Linked DNA regions of Mus musculus. The protein of the gene in region 1 interacts with the protein of each later gene in a biochemical or structural test. Links are inferred from orthologs where the notes say so. Each region holds a gene or a part of one and is shown in the gene's direction. Other genes may lie near its edges.

Region 1 (6,747 bases):
TCAACACACTTATGAGTTATGGGTGTGCTTATCCAGATGTAGGATTTCTTCTGGTGTGGTCAGCAAACTGGTATTTTTTGTTTGTTTGTTTCCCCACAGCCAAGAAAACAGAGCCTGCCATACAGAGTCCTGTTCTTATTTGCTTAATGATGGCAGATCCAAGTCACTGTGGACAAGTTGAAGTCAGAAGGCCCCAACTTTGGTATAAAAGAAAAATTTCACATGCAGACACCCCAGGAATCCTGGCAGTGGATGGTGGTGGTGGTGGCTGCAGCAGCAGCAGCAAAGCATTACATGAGACTCCTTGATCCAGGCACTTGAGGTAACTTTGTCTTTCCGTGGCTTCAGAAAGCCCAAATGAAGGTAGAAAATATACCCCAGTAGGATGCTGGGAGGCTGGCAGGAGGCCATTTTACAAAGCAAGAAAAGACGAATCTTTCCCAGTCTTGCCTCCCTGGATCCTTGCCATAGCTCATTTCTAAGTTCCCCTGCCTATGACTGCTAGCCTGGCTAATTTTATGTCAACTTGACACAAGCTAGAATAATCTGAAAAGAGGGATCTCCAATTGAGAAAATGGTTGTGCTGTAGGCAAGCCTGAAGAGCATTTTCCTAATTTATGATTGACGTTGCAGGGCCCATTCCATTGTGGGTGGGGCCAACCCTGGGCTGCTGGTCCTGGGTTCATTAAGAAAGCAGGCTGAACAAGCCAGTAAGCAGCATCCTCCATGGCCTTTGCAGCAGCTCCTGCATCCAGGTTCCTGCCCTATTTGAGTCCTGGCTTCCCTCATTGATGGACCACCATATGGAAATGTAAGCAAAATAAAGCCTTTCCTACCCAACTTGCTCTTTACTCACGGTGTTTTGTCACAGCAATAAAAACCCTAAGATGAGTTGGTACCGGGAGTGAGGTTTTAATTAATTTCAAATGTAGTCAAGTTGACAACCCAGAATTGCCATACAAGTCCACCCCTTGCCAACTTGACACACAATCATATCTTCTTATCAATTTCCAAGTGAAAACATTAAGCAAATCATAATAATACCTAAACATGATATAACTATCTGACATACAATTACAAACACATTATATTTAACCATGTTATAATTACACCTAACCAGATAAAACTATCCCTCATACAACTGCAAATGCATTGCAAATTTAGAGTAGATGCCAGGCGTGACGGTGCACGCCTTTAATCCCAGCACTCGGAGGCAGAGGCAGGCAGATTTCTGAGTTTAAGACCAGGCTGGTCTACAAAGTGAGTTCCAGGACAGCCAGGGCTGTACAGGGAAACCCTGTCTTGAAAAACCAAAAAAAAAACAAAAAACAAAAAACAAACAAACCAAACCAAACAAACAAACAAAAACAAACGAACAAACAAAAAATTTAGAGTAGATGACAATGTCCCTTGAGGGACATTCTTTTTTTTTTTTTTTTGAATTAATTAATTTATTTCATGTATGTGAGTACACTGTCGATGTCTTCAGACACACCAGAAGAGGGCATCAGATCCCATTACAGATGGTTGTAGCCACCATGTGGTTGCTGGGAATTGAGCTCAGGACCTCTGGAAGAGCAGTCAGTGCTCTTAACCCCTGAGCCATCTCACCAGCCCCCTAGAAACATTCTATTAGTATCTCAGACTTCAATATGATAACCATTGACATTCTATTAATAGATGTTACATCACATAATTTAAAAAATTGAGGAAAGAAAACACAAATATTTGTACACAATATAACTGATCTTGGCCTAATTTTTTAAAATATTTACTCAAAATATTTATATGAGTACACTGTAGCTGTTTTCAGACACACCAGAAGAGGGAATCAGATTCTATTACAGATGCTTGTGAGCCACCATGTGGCTGCTGGGAATTGAACTCAGGACCTCAGGAAGAACAGTCAGTGCTCTTAACCGCTGAGCCATCTCTCCAGCCCTTGATGGGCTAATTTTAAAGGCCAAGGGATACTGGTCAGCTTAGATGTATGGCCTCCACAGTCTCCAGGATGTTGGGTCTCCCTTTAGAACCCATCTCACCACAACTCTAAGTTTACAAAAGCAGGAACCTGTTACCATCCCTTTTAATCAGTTTCACATAGGAACAGAGAATAGGCACATAGGGGCCAGAAAAGTGGGTGGGAACAGACTGAAGTTAGAAGCCAAAGGCACTGGCCAATGAGAGTGTCAGCAGGTGTGTGTTTTCCTCACCCACTAGTTTCTGGATTGCTTTTTCTTGGTCAAAAAGCTAACTTTGTATCTCTTGTTTTCTTCACCACTGCTGGCCAGCTCTCCCCTTGCCTCCCTGTTGTCTACCTCTGTACGATGCACAGTCATCAGACCCATTCAACGCTGTTCTGTCACCACGGTCCTTCCACTGACTCAGAACTAACTCTGTGTCCCACAGTTACTTCTCATAGGCCACCTGCCTCAAGGTCATTCAAGAGACGCAGCTGACACGCTGTAAGAAACCCTTCACCAACTCTCAGATCATATGTAGAATCGGTCCATTTCTCACCGTATGATTCATCTCATCTTCTCTGGTATCACTTCGCAGGAGCCCCATCTTAAATCTGAAAATGGCCCTGACTACTTCCCAAACTGGCTCTCCTGTTTCAGACCTCCACTCCTTTCCAAGTGTTTGTCTCTCTTTAAAATGTCTGAGCAGCTCTGAATTCCTGGTCATTTTCTATCTCATGCTCCATTCTCAGCTGAGGGATGCCTTTCCAGGCAAACCCATCCCAGTACTGAGTCGAAGTCTCCACTAGGGTGCACTTGGGAGGCTCTCTCAAAGAGGAGTTTATTTCTCTACCTGGCTTTTAACTAGAAAGACATATAGCTGTGGAATGAGTCCAATAGCTCACAGACAGGGAAAAGCCTGTCAGCTCTGTTTCTCTCCTGGTGTGCATGCTGCGTACGTGGCCGGATCTTTCCTTGTTCTGCTAATGAGCCATGCCCGCATGCCGGGCTTGTTTACTTGCTTGTTTGGTTAACCTTTCTGACTCTACCAGAGTTACTTCCATAGCTCCCTAGTCTTTCTCTTAACTTTGGAAGGGAGATTATAGAACCAGCCTCTCCGCCCCTAGACCCGCCCAGCCCTGTCTCACTTCCTCTCGGGAGGCGGGCTCTCCTCGGGCAATCTCTCGCTCAGTTTTCTGGCTCAGATCTGAGACCCATTTCCCGCCTTCACAGACCTAATCAAGAAATGGAAACTGAACCAGTTTCCGTGCAGAAGGTACCTGCACCCCCTGGATCTCCCTGTCGACAACAGGACTCTGCCCTGACCCCCACGCCCACCATGCCTCCCCCAGAGGAACCCTCCGAAGACTATGAACACAGCCAAAGCCCTGCAGAGGTACTACTGGGTTAGAAGGTGTAGGGCTATTAGGTTTTTTTATTCGTTTACTTTGGTCGAGGAGTTGAGGATGAAGAAGGTCGTTATAGAGAAGTAAGTTAATGGGTTAGTGTCCTAAAGAGACACCAAGGTCCTGACCCTCCTGGCTGGGCAGAGGTAGAACTGATAGCCTAGAGTAAAATAGGAACAGGGGCCCGGCGGTGTGGGGCACACCTCTAATCCCAACACTTGGGAGGCAGAGGCAGGTGGATTTCTGAGTTCAAGGCCAGCCTGGTCTCTACAGAGTGAGTTCCAGGACAGCCAGGGCTACACAGAGAAACCCTGTCTAAAAAAAAAAAAAAAAAAACCGGGATGAGTTGGATTGTAACTGGGGATAGTTGGATTGTAACTCCTACTCCCTGAAGCCTTGCCTGAAGCGCCTACCTCAGATGAAAGACTATAGTCCTGTGGAAGGCCTGGCCAGGAGTCTTATTTGCTCTGGCCTGGAGCTAAAGGCATGTCCCAGACTTGGCAAAACTATAGTCGCCCTCCCTGACCCCCACACCAACACTTCCCGTTTTTCAGCTGTGGTTGCACATCCCAGGAGCAATAGTGCTTGGGATGGTAGGGCTGGAGGGAGGATGACAAGTTCCAGGCCAGCCTAGGCCACAAAGAGAGTTCAAGACCGCTGAGGGCATCACAGCAAGACCTGTTTCAAAACAAAACAAACAAACAGACAGAACCTGGCTCAGACCAAAGTGCCTGCTAAGACCAACAGGATTCACACAGCTGCTTTCTCTTTTGATTTTCATCAATTTATTTTATGTGTATGAGGTTTAGGGATTTATTTTATTTTATCTTTTGGAACACAGGGTCTCACTCTGTAGCCTTGGCCGGGCTGGAGCTTGCTTTGTAAGCCAGGCTGGTCTCAAATTCATAGAAACCACCTGCCTGCCTTCTGAGCTCTGGGATTAATGTATGCGCCACCAAGCTCATTTTCCTAAGGAAGCCTAGTTCATGGCCTTCCTGGGAGTATTGCCTCAACCTTCCATACTCACCCTGGAAGGAACTACCTCCATCCCATTATTCTTCACTCATTTTTCCCTTCACAAAAAACACAAATAAGGTCACATTGCCCTAACTTTTTATTATTAGCATTATATAGCTAAGGATTAAAAATACTAGTTGACATTTATGGGTACTTCTCTCTCTCTCTCAATCTCTCTCTCTTTTTTTTTTTTTTTTTGGTTTTTCGAGACAGGGTTTCTCTGTATAGCCCTGGCTGTCCTGGAACTCACTTTGTGAACCAGGCTGGCCTCGAAATCGCCTGCCTCTGCCTCCTGAGTGCTGGGATTAGACTTATGGGTATTTCTCATGTGCCAGGCACCATGGTATTGAGCTCTTTGAACAGTAGCTCCACCTTCTATACCTATGAACTAACTATTATTATTTTATATGACATGACTGGAATTACACAATATTTCTAATTTTATGGCAGGCATATTATTTCACCATGTCTTCAAGGTTCATCCAGGTTGTTGAATGTATCAGGATTTCATTCCTCTTTCAGGGTGAATACTATTTTGTTACATTTGCAGACACATTTTGTTCATGCGTTCATGTGCTAAGGACACTTGGGTCACTGTGACTTTTGTGGGGGTGTTGCTAGGCACATTAGTATATAATTATATGCTTGGATATTTTTTCCAGTTCTTTTGAGTATATATATGGAAAGTGGAAGCTTGGTCATACGGTAGTTTAAGTCTAACTTTTTGAGGGTCATCCTGCCAATTGTGTTAAGCACTTTATATGAAGTTGATACTTTTCCAAACTTGAGTCCCTTAAATGCAAAGATGTATCTATCCTATCTTGTATCTCAGGACCTACTAGTGAGTCTAATGATAAGCAGATGGGTGCCCGGTAAATTGTGCAGTGAGAGCTGCAAGGCTCGAAGTAAATGAGGAACTGGGGTGCCGATAAGCCAGGACATGATCCAATGACTCCCAGGAATGGAATGTGAGGTCCTACCCTCTCCAATCTCCAGCTGAAGGGATGGGCGGCCAGTGGAGGGGACAAGACGTCTGGGCTTTCTGTAGGCCTCACTTCTCTCCTTGGTTCACTAGCAAGCCATACAGGAGGAATTTCAGTTTCTGCGCTGCCCGAGCTGCCAGGCCCAAGCCAAGTGCCCCAAACTGCTGCCTTGCCTGCACACGCTGTGCTCCGGATGCCTGGAGGCGCCTGGCCTGCAGTGCCCCATCTGCAAGGCTCCTGGGCAGGCCGATGCTAATGGGGAGGCCCTGGATAACGTGTTCTTCGAGAGCCTGCAGCGGCGCCTGGCGGTGTTCCGGCAGATCGTGGATGCTCAGGCTGCGTGCACCCGCTGCAAAGGCTTGGCCGACTTCTGGTGTTTCGAGTGTGAACAGCTCATTTGCAGCAAGTGCTTCGAAGCACACCAGTGGTACCTCAAGCATGAGGCCCGGCCCCTGGCTGATCTCCGCGACAATTCAGTGAGCAGCTTCCTCGACAGTACGCGCAAGTCCAATATCTTCTGCTCCAATACCAACCACCGCAACCCTGCGCTGACTGAGTAAGTGGAGCATCCTGGAGTCAGGGGGTGAAAGCTTCAGGGAATTGTCACTCAAAATGGGCTCCGCTGGTTTATAGTCGTTTCTAATGACCCTTTGAAATATTATATATAGCTTCAGAGTCATCTTTGCACCCATACCTAGTTTGTCTTTAGGATGAAAAAATTTCAGAGTGCCATTGCAAGTGATATGTGAAAACAGTAGGTTTTAGTATGTGTCACCACCGAACTTTAGATGTCTTAATAGTGGACATTTCCTTCGGAGGCCCCAGGGAATCTCAGTAAGGCTGGATGTTATTATTGGGGCAGGAAAATAGTGTTTGAAAAGTTGAAACTATGGCATCAGGGAGTGCTATCTGAAAATGACTATATGCAAAGAACAAAGAAAGTCACTTATAATTATTTTTGTTAAGCAACATATTTTCTATTTATGTAGGGAATATATTTATATGGCTCACAAACAAAATTTATACTAAAGAAAAGAGAGTGCCATCTCCATTCCATTCCTACCTGCTTAGTTTTCAACACTTTACCTCCATTCTCAGGGCAGCTGCCATGGCTAATTTGGAATGCTTCTTTTAAGTTTCTTTGTGAATAAAATGCAGGTCGGGTAACCTTATCAGGACTTGTATCCACCCTTTTAGCCAATATGGTAGTGTATGATAAAGGAACTTTTGACCACTCAGAAGCAGATTGCTTGAATAGGAACTAGTAGTTTTTGAGGAATCAATGGGAACCAAACCGCTTCCTCTTTTGGGGCACTCCTTGACCGACCGAGCTTCCTGCCAGCTTCATCAGAGGAGTCCTGCCCCCACCCCATTCCTCTG
Region 2 (5,952 bases), on another chromosome or scaffold:
CTGTAATTTTTGGCCTAATAACTTTTAAGCGTTAGGACCAGGACTCTGGACCTAAAGGAACCACAGACAGCATAGTTACTGTTCTAAAAGACATTGCTTTGTTGACTAAGAATCGCACATCTCTTCTATCAAATATTTTAATTCATCATGCGCACACTTGATACTGAAGAAGTGATGCAGTGATGAGAAAGCTAACCACCTCGCTTCGTCATGCTAGGACCTGACGCCTGGGTTCCCAGGGGAGGGTGCTGTGCTATTGCAGGCATTTCCTAGCTTGTCTCAGGGGTTTCTGGTCTTAGATTTGCGCGAAACCGAAGCAGTTTGCTGCTGCACATGGCTGAGAAGGCCTCAGATGCGGAGCTGGGTTTTCTCTGTGTGCAACTGTAATAGTTGAAGTCTTTAATTCCAGCACTCAGGTCTCAGACAGGACATGTACCACAGGTTCAAGGCTAGCTTGGGCTTTATAGTGAGTTTAGGACAGTCTGCTACAGAGTGAGACCCTGTCTCAACCCAAGCAGTGAGAAGAGGAAGGAGAGGGAAAATGTCAGGGAGGGAGAGGAAGGAGAAAAGGGCAGAGGGAGAATAAGACCAGAGCCCAGGATCCACTTGCTCAGCACAGACACTCAGACAGCTCCCACTGCACTCCTGTCTCCTCTCTCCGGTTCTCATCTTCCTCCTCCCCTCCAGTTTTCTGCTAGTCTGGCTAGCAGCTGCCTATCTGCTCTGGTTTCCAGCAGTTAACTTAGTTGTGTGATACTTAAGAAGTATGATTAATAAAGTCTTTATATTAAGGAAAACTGGATATTTAAAAATTATCTGTTGAAGCATTCGTTGAGTTGGCTGCCATCCATAGCATAATACATACGCATATGTTAATGACATTCTGATTGTGCTAGTGTTTGGACTGTTCTAATGTGTAATGTCTTCCTGCAGATCATCAATTTCTACATGAACATGCTAATGGAACGCAGTAAAGAGAAGGGGTTTCCAAGTGTACATGCGTTTAATACCTTCTTCTTCACTAAGCTAAAAACAGCTGGTTATCAGGCAGTGAAACGCTGGACAAAGAAGGTGGATGTATTCTCCGTTGATATTCTTCTGGTGCCCATTCACTTGGGTGTGCACTGGTGTCTAGCTGTGAGTAACTCCTTTATTTTTGATGGCATGAGAAAGAGATCTACGTAGGCAGCATAGCCAGCCCAGTGGGCCATATGATCTGTGTCTCTGCTTTGCTATGGAGGAGAGGTGGAATTTCATAGTGATGCCTCGGCTTTAGAGTAGGGGATGCTTAGGTTCGGAAGTTACAGGTCATCCCGCCGCCGCCTCAGGTGAGGCAAGGAACAAGCATGTTTGTGGTGCCACCAGCCCCAGCTTCCTACCTAGCTCTGACTTGCCTTGTGCATGTGGGGGTTTAGCATTTCTGTGCTCTGGAAGCATGAAGACATCAGCTTAATGTTAATAAGAGTTATTGTATATTCTGTTTTGAATTACATTTCAAAGATATCAATCTGGGGCTGGAGAGATGGCTCAAAGGTTAAGAGCACGGACTGCTCTTCCGAAGGTCCTGAATTCAAATCCCAGCAACCACCTGGTGACTCACAACCGTCCATAACAAAATCTGACTCCCTCTTCTGGAGAGTCGGAAAACAGCTACAGTGTGCACTTACATATTATAAATAAATAAATAAATAAATAAATAAATAAATAAATATCGATCCAAAAAAAGGAAATAAGATAAAAACAAACGCAGAATCTTGTCACCATCTTTCTTATACTGTGGGAATGATCTTATGATAGTTAATTTTCTGTGAATCATGCATTGTTGATCATGGAGAAAGTGGCATGCAAAAAAAGATTTTAAGACAGTTAATAGGCCACTGGTGGATCACCCCAGCACCACCCTAGGTAAACAGTCCCCTTGCTCTTCCCATGCTAGAATACAGCACATTCACCATACTGCTCACAGTCTCACAGACAGTCTGGGGAAAGGTCAAGGCCAAGGGAGGCCAGCTGATGATGCGTGTGTCCTGACTGTTTTGTCTTGTTCCAGGTTGTAGACTTTAGAAGGAAGAGTATCACCTACTATGATTCTATGGGTGGAATAAACAACGAGGCCTGCAGGATCCTCTTGTAAGTGCAAATTGAGGACAAAAGAAATGTTTGTTGCTTTCTGTCTTTCCAGCAATCTGAGTGAGACCTTCGGAGATGGGATTAGTGGCATTGTCACATCAGTATAAATGCATATTTTAAATACAATATGTATTAATGAGGGCAGTTGCTGTCTTGGCACACTGAAATATAGAGTAACCATATACATAGAAATACAGTCAGCAGAACTCATATTTAATTCAGCTTTCTGAAATTTTAAACGAAAAAGTCCCACAGAGATGACTTTGCTTTGGTCTTACTACTTAGTGGTTCCCTTGGAAATTAGAATGGGAATCTCTTACACCCATTTGCTTCTCTTTGTAAACACCAGTGCCTTGCTCTGCAACTGATACATGGCAAGGGGGATAAGTTCCTGAACAGTGCGCATTTCCTTCTTCAAAAGAGTGCTCTTGGCTAGGGAGAGGCTCAGAGGCTAACGGGCTTGCTGCACAAGCATAGGAACCATAGTTAGGATCACCAGGGCTCACATAAATGCTCTATGTGTGCATGGTTCCCACTCAACTCCAGCCTTGGAAAGCAGAGACAAACTGACTAGCAAGACTAGTAGTATCAATGTGCACCATGCACACACTCATGCTCACGTGTGCGTCAACACATGCACATACCACACACTGCACACCACAACATATACACATGAAAATTGGGGAAGAGTCCTCTGAATTTGTACTGTTTTGTTTGTGTTTTTGAGACAGGTTTTCTCTTTGTAGCTCTGGCTGTCCTGGAACTTGTTCTGTGTAATAGACTAAGCCAGCCTCAAACTCAGAGATCTTCCTCCCTCCCAAGGACTGGGATTTAAGGCTTGTGCCACCACTGCCTGGTGTGAATTTGTACTTGTTAAATTTTAAAATACATACCCTGATACTGCTTGAGACATTTTAAATTTTATATTTATATATATATATATATATATATATATTAATTTAATAATAAGTTATGCATTAGGTTGATAATTGTAAAAGGACCATACAAACCAAGAAAAAATAAATATAAAAATATTTCTTAGAAAGATGAGTAGACTGAAGAATTTAGAAAGAATATTACCTATCAGGAATCTCAGAAGCAGCGGTCCTGTCCCTCCTGGCAGGTGGCAGAATGGGCTGCTTGTGGGACCTGTGAGGGTTGTCTTCTGAGGGTCGCCAGCCCCATTCTGTGGGTGGCAGCTGCCATCAAGCTGCACACAGCTCATCTCGGTCTCTTCTGATGTCTTTAGGCAATACCTAAAACAAGAAAGTGTTGACAAGAAAAGGAAAGAGTTTGACACCAACGGCTGGCAGCTCTTCAGCAAGAAGAGCCAGGTACGTTTCATGTTGATATCATAGCAATCTTTAGAGCTGGGGTGTTTGGGGGAAGAGGGTTCTGGTTGCTGTCTGACTCCTATGGACTGTCTAATTCAAGTCTAGCCTGACTTCAGCTTTCTCTGGTTTCTCAAGGGAGATGAATTATTTGTGGGGAAGCTCATGATGTGTTTCTTGTGCAAAACTGTTTTCTAAATGCTGAGCTGTTTGCTGAGATTTTTACTCCGTTGAGAAATACTTGTTGACTGTTTGGTGCTTAGAAGGAGGACCAGTTTGTACACCCTTGGGTGCCATGAAAGCCTGAGAGAGGCTCCTGTGTGACCAGTGTGAAGCTAACACACAAAGGTGGAACCACAGTGCTGCATCCTTAAACCTCCTTCCCCTTAGGAGACCCAAGGGAAATGGTGTAAAATTGATAAAAGAAGTTTGCAAAAATATTTTGTTGTTGTTGTTGTTTTAGGAAATCCCACAGCAGATGAATGGGAGTGACTGTGGAATGTTTGCTTGCAAATATGCTGACTGCATTACCAAAGACAGACCAATCAACTTCACACAGGTGAGGCAGGCCTGTGCCTGTTCTGTGGAGCCTCTGCCCTGACCTTTACATACTTCAGGCTGTGTCTCAGATCACTGCACAAAAGGAGAAAATGTTGGTCTACACGCCAGGCTACCATTGTCACATATAATAGTGACTGAGTCTTGGGTTAAGAAGAAAAGTCTTTATTGTCTGTCCATCTCCCCCAGCCCGAGACACACACACACACACACACACACACACACACACACACACACCCCACCTCTAACCTTATAGGAAACACAAACTGAAACCAGAAGAAGCCTTCTTCACTTCCCCTCAATTTAGCATTCAGGTTTTGGAATATTTTGGAATAGACCCAAGTAAATCTCTTTGTGTCCTTTGTTACACACCCCCTTCCCTGGCCCGTTGTCAGTGCCACTGGTCAGTTTTACCTCAAAGGTAGAAGGTCATTTTCCTAGACAGCATCCTGAACCCAAGAGGACTGAGACTACAAATCCCAGCTGATTCTGATATGTTTTCTACTTTTGCTTCTGTTGGAATCAGCGTCCTGTCTAGATTTTGTCTGAACCAGGGCTTCGTAAATGTTTTCCTCTTGATGAGGCTTGAAAGATGCTCAGTGGTTTAAGATGCTTGCTGCTCTTCCAGAGGACTGGGTTCAATTCCTAGCGCCCACATGGCCTATACAGCCTTTGGTAACTAGAGTTCCAGGAAATCCACCGCCCTCTTGTGGCTTCCACAGGTACCATGGAATGCACATGGAACCCAGACACACATGCAAGGGGCATTTGTACATATAAAAATGAATGAGTCTGAAAGAAGGAACAAAACTTACTATTCGTCTTCATCCAAAAAGTTTTTACATTGCCCTAGATATATACATATATTAAATAGATTAGTGAAACATATAATAAGGCAAAGAACTTATTTTAAAACAGTCCTCTGGTATACATGTAATTTTACAGTTGGTTAAAGACAAAAGCGAGTTTGTACACAGATGAAATGGAAGGTTTTGGGTTTGCATGTGGCCTTGAGTTTGGCTGACTCTAATGTTAACAGGATATAGCGCGTCCTCGTTGTTTTCCAGAGTGGCTGACAGTTAGGTTTCACAGTCAGCAATGCTGAGAATGAAGTAGTACAGGATAGGAATAGCATGCATGTGGGAGTCAGACAGTTGTACGAATTCCAAGATCTAAACGCATGTCATCAAGCTTGGTAGAAGTTTCTATACTCACTGAGTTATGTCACTGGCCCAGTTCAATACCAAGGTAGGCCAGAGTGATAATAGGAAGGTACTAAAATTCTGGTTTCCATAATTAAGCTTTTTTGTTTCTGTCAAAGCAAAAAGTGTTAGGTATAAGTAAAACGGCTGCTGTTTGTAACGTACAGTGGTCTGAAATCTGAACTGGGGTGTTTCCAGCAACAATAAATGGCGTTCTGTGCATCACAGATCACACAGTGCAAAGTGTGCTGTGTATACTCAGAGTCAGGCCTTCACTAAAGTCATGCACCTTGGATTCATTGAACGTTTGAGCCTGAATTAGTTTCTAGACCTGGTATGTTCAGAAACCTATCACAGTTCTCAGATTCTTCAGAGTGTCCATATTCAGTTAAAAATTCAGATGCCTGGGCCAGAGAGGTGGCCCATAGTTAAGAGCACTGACTGCTCTTCCAGAGGTCCTGAGTTCAATTCCCAGCAACCACATGGTGGCTCACAACCATCTGTAATGGAATTTGATTCTCTTTTTCTGGAGTGCTTGAAAACAGAGCACTCATATACATTAAATAAATAAATCTTTTTAGAAAACAAATTCAGATGCCAAATTCACAGCCCAGAGTTTAAGAAAACCCTTGGAAAAACTGGGTGCGGTGATACACACTTTTAATACCAGCACTCAGAAGCAGGCCTATCTCTATGAGTTAGAGGGCATCTTGGTTTACATAGAGTTTCGG
Region 3 (5,952 bases), on another chromosome or scaffold:
ATAGCAAACTGCCTGCAGCTCCTTGGGCATACTGTCTTCTTTCCTCCTCCTGCCCCTGCATGTATGCATGCTGTTCTTCCCACCCTGGAATATCTGTGCCCCTTTAAGGCTTACAAGATTTCAAATGTTACTTCCTGCGTAAAACCTTCTCTGACCACAGATGAGTTACTTGTTCCTCTGCTCTTTCATAAGTTTTTTTTTTTAAAGATAGATTTACCTGTTTGTTTGTTTATTAATTAATTAATTTATTTATTTATTTACTGTATTATGGGTATACTCTAGCTGTACAGATGGTTGTGAGCCATCATGTGGTTGCTAGGTTGCTCACTCCAGCCTAAAGATTTATTTATTATTGTATCTAAGTACACTGTAGATGTCTTCAAATGCACCAGAAGAGGGTGTCAGATCCCATTACAGATGGTTGTGAACCACTATGTGGTTGCTGGGATTTGAACTCAGGACCTTCGGAGGAGCAGTCAGCGCTCTTAACCATTGAGCCATCTCTCCAGCCCCTTCATGAGTATTTTAAGGATGCTTGTGCATACTGTTTTATACAATTGTTGAGGTACCTGGCACACTGGAAGTTACAGTGAGAGAATTTTTTTTCTTTTAAGTTTCTTGTTGCCACACAATCTCTTTTATTAAGCCATGCTGATCTGTAGTAATTGTCATAGTTCCATAGCATATCTGTAGAAAGTTGTATATCCAGTTCTGGACATTGGTTCTAGATATGGCATAGGTAAAAAACAAAACCAGACAATCGAAACAGAAGGGTTGGCTCTATAGATTGTGGAGGGAGGAACAGCAGGGAGAATGGTACCTAGATGTAAGTCGGTGTGCTGAATAAATCAGAGCACAATGACTAAATGTTTGTAGCTAAACAATTAGGTCAATATATATCAAAATATCTAAACTGTAGCTAAGGTGATACATAGAGGCAAGCGTGTGAACGAACAATATGTTAGACGCATTTGAAAAAGAGAAAAGAGAAAGTAAGAGAGGTGGGTGTGCTGCACATATCTGTGATCCTAGCATGTGGGAGGCTGAAGCAGGAGAGCCAAGGGTCACAAGTTTGAGGCAATTCCAAACTACATAGAGAGACCCTGTCTCAAAGAGGAAAAAGAAAGAAAAATGTGCTTTTAAGTCAAGAAGTTATAAAGAGCAACAAAAATCTAGAAAAACAGGAAAAAACCAGGAGGAAAGAAAAGTAATGAAAAATTTTAAAGTAAAAATGAATATAGCTATAAAGGGGGCAACTTGGTTATCTTTTGCTTTGTGGCTTTTCAGTGGTTAAGGGGTCCTGCACATGCCAGATAAGCACTCTACTGTTGAGCTGTGTGCTCAGTGTTATAATTCCTGTTTCTAATTACCAAAGTGTGTGTGTGTGTGTGTGTGTGTGTGTATGCTATCATTAGAAAATAAGATCAAACAGTGCATTGTACATTGTACATTGCAATATAACTAAATAGTTCAAAGAAAAAAATCTACAATGATATTAACAAAATGAGATCTCAAAAATACATCAAAGGAGAAAACTGCATACTGTGTAGTATTATTTATGTAAATAAAGCATTTTTGCATTTAAATAAATGCAAATGTGAATAACATTTTATTGCAAAGGTTTAAGGGATGTATGCCAAATCCAAATGGGAAGAAACTGGAACTGGTGTGGGATTCTGCAGCATTCTGATTTTTATAAAGGAAAATATATTCAAAATAAACATTAAAAATAAATTGTAAAAGGTAAATTAGGCAGGGATGTAGGTCTAACAGCACAGTTACCAGCATATGGTCCCTCAGTTCAATCCCCATTCATATGCCTTGATTGTTAATCAGCCTATGTTTGAGAAAAAGAAACAGTCCTTAAATAGAAATATATGCTTATGTTTGAAATATAAGCACAGTCAAGCTCCACCATGTAATACATACTCTTGGTGTTCTTTCCAGATATGACCCCAAAACTAACCAATGGAGCAGCGATGTGGCCCCTACAAGCACCTGCAGGACAAGCGTTGGTGTGGCAGTCCTTGGAGGTTTTCTCTATGCTGTGGGTGGACAGGATGGTGTCTCTTGCCTCAATATAGTTGAGAGGTGATGTCTTTTTAATCAAAGTAACTTTCAACTTTTAATGGGCATTCAGAGTTCTTTTTGCAGTTTTATGTAGCCCGAAATGGCCTAGAGCTTATAATGGAGTGGGAGGGTCAGAAGGTGACTTTGTGGAATTGGTTCTCTCCGTCTACTAGTCTATAGCACACCCCCATCTACTCTTTAATTGATAAAAATACATTTGTGGTGAACATGATGTATTTAACTATTTAAACCATGTAGAATGGCTAAGACAAACTAATTAGCTGATTATTACCCTAAATACTTAGAGAGTTTTGGTGAAAACACTTTTCACCAAATTTTCAAATGCATGACATAATAACTACTCACCGCAATGTACTTTAGATTTCCTTAAAGTATTTTTGACCAGCATCTCTGTGATCCTGCCAACCAATCACCCAGCCCACTGAGAGTGGAATCCTCTACTGTTTGCTTCTATAAATTAGACTCATTTTAGATTCCATCTTCAAGATCAAATGGTATTTTTCTTCATGTGTCTGACTTATTTCACTTAACAAAATATCCCCCCACATTCATCCTATTGTCACAAATGACAAATTTGTGGCTTTTAATAAAACTGAATAGTAGATGTGTATGACTGTATGTGTGTGACTTTGTGTGTGTGTACTTTTTCTTAAGCTATGGCAGATGTGTGTGTCCATTTTATCTCTTGTGGTTTCAGATGTGTAGACACTGCTTGGGCAGTAGGAATATGTTTCCCTCCCTGCAGGTATGATCCAAAGGAGAACAAGTGGACCCGGGTGGCTTCAATGAGCACTAGAAGGCTAGGGGTGGCTGTCGCCGTGTTGGGAGGGTTCTTATACGCTGTTGGTGGCTCAGATGGAACATCTCCACTTAACACAGGTCAGTCTCTCAACAGCAGTATGAGTTCCAAATGCAACACATTTTCCTGGGGGAAATATTAAATGCTCTATACTAAATATTAAATGCTCAGGTTATTCTACTTTCAATATACTTTCAATATAACGTCTTTATTAATTCTTGAAGAATTTCATGGAATATATTTTATTGTATTCATCCTTCCACTCCTCTCAGATCCACCCTCCACCTCCCCATCCAGTCTCAACTTCATTTGTCTTCTTAGTAACCCACTGTCTTAGTCAGGGTTTCTATTACTGCACAAACATCATGACCAAGAAGCAAGTTGGGAAGGAAAGGGTTTATTCAGCTTACATTTCCACATTGCTGTTCATCACTGAAAGAAGTCAGGACTGGAACTCAAGCAGGTCAGGAAGCAGGAGCTGATGCAGAGGCCATGGAGGGATGTTCCTTACTGGCTTGCTTCCCCTGGCTTGCTCAGCCTGCTCTCTTATAGAACCAAGACTACCAGCCCAGAGATGGTCCCACCCACAAGGGCCTTTCCCCCTTGATCACTAATTGAGAAAATGCCTTACAGTTGGATCTCATGGAGGCATTTCCTCAACTGAAGCTCCTTTTTCTGTGATAACTCCAGCTGTGTCAAGTTGACACAAAACTAGCCAATACACCCACCAAATCTAATTTGTGCTGCTCATATACTCATAAATGTATTTTTTATCTTTTTAAAGAATATGTTTTAGTTTTCTCTCTAGAAAAATGTAACTCATAACTTCTAATATGTTCCCCAAAGTTTTCTTTCTCTACATACTTCATAAACTTCCAGAAACTTATAGTGAATTTTTAAAAGTCTGGGGCTGCAGAGACGACTTAGTGGTTAAGAGCGCTTGGTTGAGAATGCTTCTTGCTCAGCTCCTGCACCCACAGGTGCCTTACAGCCATCTGCACCGGCACCCACAGGTGCCTTACAGCCATCTGCACCTGCACCCACAGGTGCCTTACAGCCATCTGCACCTGCACCCACAGGTGCCTTACAGCCATCTGCACCTGCACCCACAGGTGCCTTACAGCCATCTGCACCTGCACCCACAGGTGCCTTACAGCCATCTGCACCTGCACCCATAGGTGCCTTACAGCCATCTGCACCTGCAGCCCCAGGTGCCTTACAGCCATCTGCACCTGCAGCCCCAGGGTTCTGCTGAAGACACCAGGCATGCACATCGTGCATATACACACATGAGGGCAAAGAAGATAGATAAGTAAATAAGTAAACAAACAAATAGGGCCACAGTTTAAAAAACAAAGCAAAACTCTACTTTCTAAATAGAGTGAGTTCCCTACCTCCCATAATCACCACCTCTCCTCAGTAGAAAAAGAATTCTTTTAATATAAGAATAAGTAAAACCTTAGAGCTACAAGCTTCTTTGCCTTTTCTATCTAGACCAGTGGTTCTCAAACTTCCTAATGCAGCAATCCTTTAATACAATTCCTCATGTTGTGGTGACCCCCCAACCATAAAATTAATTACTACTTCATAACTGTTATGAATCGCAATGCAAATAACTGATGTGTGACACACACCCCCCCAAAGGAGTCATGATCCACAGGTTGAGAATCACTGGTCTAGACATAATAGCTATTTTTATCTAAGGATATTGTCAGTGGCACACCATGAGATTCATTGTTATGTATCTTCGGTGGCTCAGAAGACACTAGGCAAACAGCATGGGCGAGCACGCCACTAATCCCAGCACTTGGGAGACAAAGACAGAAGGATCGATCATGAGTTTGAGGCCGGGCTACATAGTGAGTTCTAGGCTAGCACCACAGAGCAAGACTCCATCTAAAAAAAAGAACAAAACATGAATAAATAATCAAATAAATTATATGAGAAAAATAAAAGTAAAAAACCTGTCTAACTATAACAATGAATTTTTAATACTAAACCATTCTTTTAAGTCATAATCAAGTTCCACCCTACTAGAAGATAAGGAAAGTGCATATAACTAGTTATGTAGCCACAACTAGAAGTTAACACATGCCAGTTCCTTAGAAGATGACTGTAAGAAACTGGCCCCCAATGTAGGAGCTAGAGAAAGTACCCAAGAGCTGCAGGGGTCTGCAACCCTATAGGTGGAACAACAATATGAACTAACCAGTACCCCCAGAGCTCATGTCTCTAGCTACATATGTATCAGAAGATGGCCTAGTCGGCCATCATTGGGAAGAAAGGCCCCTTGGTCTAGCAAACTTTATATGCCCCAGTACAGGGAAACACCAGGGCCAAGAAGTGGGAGTGGGTGGGGAGGGGAGCAGCGTGGGGGTAGGGTATAGGGGACTTTTGGGATAGCATTTGAAATGTAAGGGGGTAGGGTATAGGGGACTTTTGGGATAGCATTTGAAATGTAAATGAAGAAAATATCAAATTAAAAAAAAAAGAAACTGTTTCCTGATCAGATTATTTACTGAAAAGTAGGTGTCTTGGCCGTTGGAGTGGCTATGAAGAAGGAAGCAGGTTTGTTCTTACTTACTGATCTTTGTCTTCACTGCAGTGGAGCGCTACAATCCTCAGGAAAACAGATGGCACACCATAGCGCCTATGGGGACCCGAAGAAAACACCTAGGCTGTGCGGTGTACCAGGACATGATCTATGCAGTGGGAGGGAGAGACGACACTACAGAGCTTAGCAGTGCTGAGAGATACAACCCCAGAACTAACCAGTGGTCTCCCGTGGTGGCCATGACATCCCGCAGGAGTGGAGTAAGTGCCAGCTACTGGGAGCTTTGAGCTTTGCAGGCAAGCACTGAGAGGGGGTGTGTAAAAGGAATTCTCTAAGCTGTAAGCTGCACTAGGACACTGCGCGGTGAAGGGCTGCTGTCCATGTGCTGTATTTCCAGCGTCTCAGCTGTCAAGACGCTTTTAGGCAAAACAGAAAAAAACAAAACCCAAAAAGCTTGTATTTCTTTTGATTGCTTTTAGCTCCAGTAGCTAAATATTTTCTATTCATT

Evidence for each region. The genes of interacting proteins can lie anywhere in the genome.
Region 2: of the proteins of Pml (region 1) and Senp1, one has a biochemical effect on the other in vitro, tested with the Homo sapiens proteins (2 studies listed by BioGRID). The link is inferred for Mus musculus from reciprocal best matches to the Homo sapiens genes PML and SENP1.
Region 3: the proteins of Pml (region 1) and Klhl20 form a complex in vitro, tested with the Homo sapiens proteins (3 studies listed by BioGRID and IntAct, with this or other methods). The link is inferred for Mus musculus from reciprocal best matches to the Homo sapiens genes PML and KLHL20.

Annotation. Positions count from the first base shown.
Region 1 is NC_000075.6:58,246,151-58,252,897, reverse strand, and holds the start of Pml (protein PML), read left to right. Parts: upstream 1-3,111; 5' UTR 3,112-3,207; coding exon 3,208-3,357; intron 3,358-5,459; coding exon 5,460-5,923; intron 5,924-6,747.
Region 2 is NC_000081.6:98,043,371-98,049,322, reverse strand, and holds part of Senp1 (sentrin-specific protease 1), read left to right. Parts: intron 1-933; coding exon 934-1,137; intron 1,138-2,050; coding exon 2,051-2,130; intron 2,131-3,379; coding exon 3,380-3,464; intron 3,465-3,924; coding exon 3,925-4,020; intron 4,021-5,952. UniProt on the Homo sapiens protein: Protease that catalyzes two essential functions in the SUMO pathway.
Region 3 is NC_000067.6:161,095,281-161,101,232, reverse strand, and holds part of Klhl20 (kelch-like protein 20), read left to right. Parts: intron 1-1,947; coding exon 1,948-2,091; intron 2,092-2,836; coding exon 2,837-2,970; intron 2,971-5,495; coding exon 5,496-5,704; intron 5,705-5,952. UniProt on the Homo sapiens protein: Substrate-specific adapter of a BCR (BTB-CUL3-RBX1) E3 ubiquitin-protein ligase complex involved in interferon response and anterograde Golgi to endosome transport.